2 linked regions of the Xenopus tropicalis genome follow. The protein of the gene in region 2 interacts with the protein of the main gene of each other region in a biochemical or structural test. Links are inferred from orthologs where the notes say so. Each region holds a gene or a part of one and is shown on either strand. Other genes may lie near its edges. The genes, in order: cacnb4 and cacna1a.

Evidence for each region.
Region 1: the proteins of cacna1a (region 2) and cacnb4 form a complex in vitro, tested with the Homo sapiens proteins (2 studies listed by BioGRID). The link is inferred for Xenopus tropicalis from reciprocal best matches to the Homo sapiens genes CACNA1A and CACNB4.

What each region holds. Positions count from the first base shown.
Region 1 is NC_030685.2:75,957,123-75,960,946, reverse strand, and holds part of cacnb4 (voltage-dependent L-type calcium channel subunit beta-4), read right to left. Parts: intron 3,686-3,824; coding exon 3,563-3,685; intron 547-3,562; coding exon 416-546; intron 1-415. UniProt on the Homo sapiens protein: The beta subunit of voltage-dependent calcium channels contributes to the function of the calcium channel by increasing peak calcium current, shifting the voltage dependencies of activation and inactivation, modulating G protein inhibition and controlling the alpha-1 subunit membrane targeting.
Region 2 is NC_030679.2:140,775,776-140,779,699, forward strand, and holds the start of cacna1a (voltage-dependent P/Q-type calcium channel subunit alpha-1A), read right to left. Parts: upstream 2,903-3,924; 5' UTR 2,895-2,902; coding exon 2,802-2,894; intron 1,336-2,801; coding exon 1,196-1,335; intron 1-1,195.

The sequences.
Region 1 (3,824 bases), on a different chromosome or scaffold from region 2:
AACCATGGATCCTTTGTAAAGGATTCGTCAGAATACCGAACTGAATTTTAAATGTACATATGTAAATAAAGAAACAATCCCGTTGCACCTGTTTTCTCATATCATTCAGCTGAATATAAAGAGAGAACATGGGATCTGCCAATTAAAAGGTGCAATGCAGAATGCCAACTGGGATTTATAAATAGGAAAATTATACAAGATACATATTCCTTATATAGGTCACATCTTAGGAACCATTCAGGCTTCTCTATTTATCTACCTGAGCCATTGGATGAACTGGAGATAAGAAATATATCGTGTTTGGAACTAGGAGAAAAGCTTTTTTCACCTTTATAAAGAAAATATGACAAAGCGTTGCCTATTTTCTATCCATAGCAGCCAATTTACTATTGTAGAAATGAATCTTGGGATTTACCCTCCATGTGTTCGTCCTCTCTTCTGCTCCTGCTGAACCCTGATGTAGTCCAGTCTCTGGGGGCTTGGGATGAACCCAATCTCACAGCCTTCCTTCACCAGCCTTCCTATCCACCAGTCGTTGTTGTATTTCTGCAATGAGGGAAGGCGCATTTATAGGTAGTTGCTCTATAATGAGCACTTGGATCCATTCAAGGGATATTAGGGACAAACAGTATCGGGCACATTTACCATTATGGGGAAAAGGAGCAAATGTTTTAAAATTCCAAAACAGAGCACAAAGACCTGTGTCCACCTATGTATGCAGAGTTGGAAGTGCCTGACAGCTCTGCATAAAGTACTGATGCCACATGGGTATGGTTTGTCCCCACCCTACATGGCATTCAGGATGCACAAGGTAGGGGTACCAGAGGGTGCCGCCAAAGGCAGGTATTCAGTACTGGCTTCCCTTGTACCCCAGTAAACTACATTCTCTGCCTGGCAACTGATTTTAATCTGGCACAAGGGACAGAGCATAGTATGTAGCTGCCAATGGAACAGGTGCAAATGCTCCATGTATGGGTCATAAGGGGAGCAATTTTGCCCCCCCATAGTTCCATTGTTTAATGGGCCCTGTAGTGTAATTAGTCTGCAAAATCTTTGGAGGGGTCTGGCACATAGTAACATAGTAAGTTAGGTATATGTTAGGACATATGTTAGGATATGTCCATCACATTCAACCATAATGCCTAATATAACCTGCCTAACTGCCAGTTGATCCAGAGGAAGGCAAAAACCCCTTTTGAAGCCTCTCTAATTTGCCGCAGAGGGCAATCGGACCAGTCCCTGGATCAACTTGTATTAAGAGCTATCTCCCATAACCCTGTATTCCCTCACTTGTACTGAGAGCTATCTCCCCTACCCCTGTATTCCCTCACTTGTACTGAGAGCTATCCCCCCTACCCCTGTATTCCCTCACTTGTACTGAGAGCTATCCCCCATACCCCTGTATTCCCTCACTTGTACTGAGAGCTATCTCCCCTACCCCTGTATTCCCTCACTTGTACTGAGAGCTATCTCCCCTACCCCTGTATTCCCTCACTTGTACTGAGAGCTATCTCCCATACCCCTGTATTCCCTCACTTGTACTGAGAGCTATCCCCCCTACCCCTGTATTCCCTCACTTGTACTGAGAGCTATCCCCCCTACCCCTGTATTCCCTCACTTGTACTGAGAGCTATCCCCCATACCCCTGTATTCCCTCACTTGTACTGAGAGCTATCTCCCCTACCCCTGTATTCCCTCACTTGTACTGAGAGCTATCTCCCCTACCCCTGTATTCCCTCACTTGTACTGAGAGCTATCTCCCATACCCCTGTATTCCCTCACTTGTACTGAGAGCTATCCCCCCTACCCCTGTATTCCCTCACTTGTACTGAGAGCTATCTCCCCTACCCCTGTATTCCCTCACTTGTACTGAGAGCTATCTCCCATACCCCTGTATTCCCTCACTTGTACTGAGAGCTATCTCCCCTACCCCTGTATTCCCTCACTTGTACTGAGAGCTATCTCCCATACCCCTGTATTCCCTCACTTGTACTGAGAGCTATCCCCCCTACCCCTGTATTCCCTCACTTGTACTGAGAGCTATCTCCCCTACCCCTGTATTCCCTCACTTGTACTGAGAGCTATCTCCCATACCCCTGTATTCCCTCACTTGTACTGAGAGCTATCTCCCATACCCCTGTATTCCCTCACTTGTACTGAGAGCTATCTCCCATACCCCTGTATTCCCTCACTTGTACTGAGAGCTATCTCCCCTACCCCTGTATTCCCTCACTTGTACTGAGAGCTATCTCCCCTACCCCTGTATTCCCTCACTTGTACTGAGAGCTATCTCCCCTACCCCTGTATTCCCTCACTTGTACTGAGAGCTATCCCCCCTACCCCTGTATTCCCTCACTTGTACTGAGAGCTATCCCCCTACCCCTGTATTCCCTCACTTGTACTGAGAGCTATCCCCCCTACCCTTGTATTCCCTCACTTGTACTGAGAGCTATCCCCCCTACCCCTGTATTCCCTCACTTGTACTGAGAGCTATCCCCCTACCCCTGTATTCCCTCACTTGTACTGAGAGCTATCCCCCTACCCCTGTATTCCCTCACTTGTACTGAGAGCTATCCCCCCTACCCCTGTATTCCCTCACTTGTACTGAGAGCTATCTCCCATACCCCTGTATTCCCTCACTTGTACTGAGAGCTATCTCCCATACCCCTGTATTCCCTCACTTGTACTGAGAGCTATCCCCCCTACCCCTGTATTCCCTCACTTGTACTGAGAGCTATCTCCCCTACCCCTGTATTAACTCCCTAAATTTACCTAAACTTAGCAACTTACCATAGATGAAGCAGACCCCCCAGTCTATGCCCCCCTATCCTCCCTGTAGGATCTGCCTCCTCTATAGTTATGCCAGTGCAGGCTTTGCCCACAAATTTACATTCCATTGTGAATAATAGACAAACTGATCTTATTGAGCATTTTTCTTTATGCCAGAATGAAGAAGCCAACAATAATAACATTTCAGACTTAATACCCGTATGATATCAGGGTCTAAATCACTGGCCCCAGTTACCAAGTTGCATTTTAGATATGACTTTGCAGAGGGGCAGAACAGAAAGGCAAAAAGCACAGCAGATAAAACATGAAGAACAATGACCAGGGTGCTTAATTTAAAGCTCAGCGTCCCCCCTATTAATTCAAGCGATAGCATTACATGCCAGCGCTTTATGCAATAGTACAGTATCGTTCTATTTCCCTTTGACTGTAACCTATAAATAAACTATAACCAATCGAAACTCCATATATTCCCTTAATTGCTATGTCAGGCTGAACATTATAATAAAGCAAAATAAATAAATTCTAGAAAAGCCGAGTTGTGCAGATGAAAAAAAAGAATGTACCTATGAGGGTGCGGATTTAACCATTCCCTCTCCTGCACAGAAGGATTCAGCAGAACCGAGCATGGTGCCGCCTACTATGGAAATGGTTAATCAGCTAATTCCTCCCAAGCGCTGGCAGCCAGTCAGTTTCCCTTTTAGCTTTAACAAGCTGCGGTCTTGCCGCCGATATTTTATTTGCCAGTGGCCAGAGGCCTTCACCCTATATTTACCTCCTTAATGTGTAAAAAGTCCTTGGCATCGAAAGATATGGCAGTGCCCGGCACGGGGACATCTTCATCCAGTGCTCCGCAGTAGCTCACGTTCGTCCTCACAGCGAATGCCACCGGCTTTGTCTAAAGGCACACAGACCCGCCATAAATACCCAGCAGCTGTCTCCTGTCTGACACCCTATAAACCTTATATGGGACCAGCGGTAATATGGCAAATACTGCTTTATAATGATTAAAGGGGACATAGGCCTTCCCTGAAACT
Region 2 (3,924 bases):
CCCTAGCCCCCTCCACTACTATACATAAGTGTGGGCACACTAAAGGTAAGCTCTATGGGTCCAACAACATCAGTATAAGAAGAAAGTAAGTTATATTATACACAAAAGCCTATGTGACTTTATCCTTATCATTTACAGTAGGGGGTACATAATCCCTTATAATACATGAGTGACACTTAAAGTTCCCTGTATAACTCAGCCTGCAGCCTTGTGCCTTTATATGGGCACAGAACCCCTCAGTGACTGCTAATATCCTTATCATTTACAGTAGGGGGTACATTATCCCTTATAATACATGAGTGATACTCAGAGTTCCCTGTATAACTCAGCCTGCAGCCTTGTGCCTTTATATGGTCACAGAACCCCTCAGTGACTGCTAATATCCTTATCATTTACAGTAGGGGGTACATAATCCCTTATAATACATGAGTGATACTCAGAGTTCCCTGTATAACTCAGCCTGCAGCCTTGTGCCTTTATATGGTCACAGAACCCCTCAGTGACTGCTAATATCCTTATCATTTACAGTAGGGGGTACATTATCCCTTATAATACATGAGTGATACTCAGAGTTCCCTGTATAACTCAGCCTGCAGCCTTGTGCCTTTATATGGGCACAGAACCCCTCAGTGACTACTAATATCCTTATCATTTACAGTAGGGGGTACATTATCCCTTATAATACATGAGTGATACTCAGAGTTCCCTGTATAACTCAGCCTGCAGCCTTGTGCCTTTATATGGGCACAGAACCCCTCAGTGACTGCTAATATCCTTATCATTTACAGTAGGGGGTACATTATCCCTTATAATACATGAGTGATACTCAGAGTTCCCTGTATAACTCAGCCTGCAGCCTTGTGCCTTTATATGGGCACAGAACCCCTCAGTGACTGCTAATATCCTTATCATTTACAGTAGGGGGTACATTATCCCTTATAATACATGGGTGATACTCAGAGTTCCCTGTATAACTCAGCCTGCAGCCTTGTGCCTTTATATGGGCACAGAACCCCTCAGTGACTGCTAATATCCTTATCATTTAGAGTAGGGGGTACATTATCCCTTTTAAATGCACCTTGCACACTGCACTTGAGGGCATAAGTTACCCTTTATTTGTTATGTGGGTTAGGTTGAAAAATGGGTTTTCATAAAATGTTTAACTCAGAAAACACAAATAGTTCATATTTCTTACCCTGATAACACAACCACAAAATCCATGATATTCCAGCCATTCCGCAAATAGGATCCTTTGTGAAAGGCAAATCCCAAGGCGATGATTTTAATCCCCGTCTCAAAACAGAAAATTCCAATAAAATAGGGTTCAGTGTCATCCTGCAAAGCAAGAAAAAAGGTTACAGCCTGGTACAGATTTATCAGTTTGCCATATAAACTACTAAAGGGCTGCGGGTTGGATATTTCTTACCTAGCTCCTTGTGCCCCCCCCCCCCCCCACAATTTGCTTCCACAATTCCCTGCATGTCTTCCAGGGCATTACACATGAACACTATGCTACCCCTGGATTGAGGGTGCAAGAGTGCATGTATCTGAATAGTGCATCTCACTTACATGAACAGGAGAGCTGAGCTGAAGGTAAGATGGAAGGTAAATTTGGGGTATATCGCTACTGGCAATAAGAAGTTTTAAACAAGGCCTCATAGTATTGGTGCATTAGCTTTAAGCACAAAGCGGTGCTGTTTGCAGTTGCACCGCAGCAGTACTGACGCTACACTCAGCTGGCAGCAGTGCACTACCCAAAGTGCTGCCACCTGGCCAATATTTTACTGGTCCAGCTGGTGAAAATGACAGCAGGGAAGAAAGATGGCAGAAATATTCTACTATTTTGTTTCTAGGTAAGGTGGGAAAACTGACATTGGAATCATTTTCCTTTCCCCTGTAGGCCTGGCAAAGGCTTAAAACACAATTTTTATAAGGTTGAACCCAGCTGGGATTTTTTATTAACCCTTACAACACTCTAATTTCCATTATCATTATCAGTGGCATACTGGTAATGCATCGGGACCCCCTTCAAGGAAATCTTTAGAAGGGCCCAGCGTGCACAGGCACTTAGCGCCGCCCCTATACGCTAGTGGTGTGTGGGCCGGCCTGATCCCCACAGGCAGATTCAGTTCTTCCATTCCCCCTCCCCGCCCGCGACCTAACACTTCATTTTCTGGCTTGTGAATTTATAGGCGTGCACCTAACACGCCCCACCCCTTTTGTGGCTTCATTGCAGGGTGGGTGGGGCACAGGTTAATAAATAGAAGGGAGAAATGGGGCCAGGTAGGGTTAGGGTTGGAAGTGGGTGGTTAGGGTCGGGTGCAGGTCGAGGTTTTCTGATACCCGCGGGTGGGTTCAGGCTGACCTTGGCACATCACTTGCGGTTCGCTGGCTTTTTTGGGTTGAGTTCTTCCATTCCCCCTCTCCGCCCGCGACCTAACACTGTCAGCTTCATTTTCTGGCTTGTGAATTTATAGGCATGCACCTAACATGCCCCACCCCTTTTGTGGCTTCATTGCAGGGTGGGTGGGGCACAGGTATATTAACAGAAGGGAGAAGTGGGGTCGGGTAGAGTTAGGGAGTGCAGGTCGAGGTTTTCTCAAGGTTTTCTCGACCCGCACATCACTAGTACGTGCCGAAGTTATGCCCTCTGCAAATACAAAGCAGCAGGCACATAACTTCACCAATTAGAGTGGCTATAGGGGAAGCAGACCCTCTTTCTCTATAGTTACACCACTGATCATCATAAAGAGGGGAAAAAAAACATCATTTCCATCTTTTAATTGTGTCAAGGCTCTTACCAGACGTTCCGACATTGGTGTCTTGTCCCCCACGGGTAAGTGTTGCTCCATAGCCAGTACGATGCAGTTAGCTATGATAGTTGCTAAAATCATATATTCAAAAGGAGTGAGATGGCAGAGTAGTTAAGGAATGCAACACTTCAATAAAATGCTCTAAATCATGGAATTGGAAGTAAATTTTTGATGTGCTCCATCACCAACACAATACTGGGTGCTACACTATCTTAAAGTCTGGCTTCTGAACCAAAATGTGTTGAAAATCCCTGCACAACACATAAACCCCTTATAAACCTATCACTGTAATCTGTTCCTTCAGTAAATATGAGTAAATACAATTTTTTTATGCTGAAATCCAGTTCTTCTCTTTCTGCGTCATTTGAAATCCTGGCAGGGGAGGAGGGACTAAAACATTGATACAACTTCTCCACAGCTTACAGACAGCCTGCAGGAACTACATAACCCACAATGCATTGACATCACGTGTGCAGGGGATTGTGGGATTGGGAGGATGCAGGCTGAAGGCAGGCTGAGGACAGTCAACTACTTTTACATTTTATTTGAGTCACAAAGTAGTCAGCCAGATCAGCAGAGGAACAGGGGGCGGGGCTTAGGGGACTGTTCCAAACCATATTATTATATTTAAAATCATAAAAAAGACTGCATATGTTTTAAATGACATATATTGCAAAATTGCTTGAAATTATGTTTTTCAAAAAGCTTAAGTTGTGCTTGGGTGTAGTTCCCCTTTAATGAGGAGCTGATAGAAAGCAATGGTAAGGGGGTAAAGGCATTAACGTTGATGTCCTCTGCCATCAGTACACATATCCAGATCATAAGGAACAACAATACCTTGAAGTGGGGTGTTCCCAATTTTATTGTGGTGTTCAGGACACAGAGAATAGGACCAAACGTTTCAAGACAGTTGTGTGCCCTACTCACTTGATTAAATTCCTATTTTCTAATACTTAAAGGAGCACTAAACGGTAAAAATGAATATAGTTAGGAATGCCATAATATACTGAACTTATTGCACCAGCCTAAAGCTTTAGCATCTCTGTAGTAGTAATGATCCAGGCCCTCAAACGTGTCAGAGAAGATCCCCACCTTGGATTCTGTTAGAAGT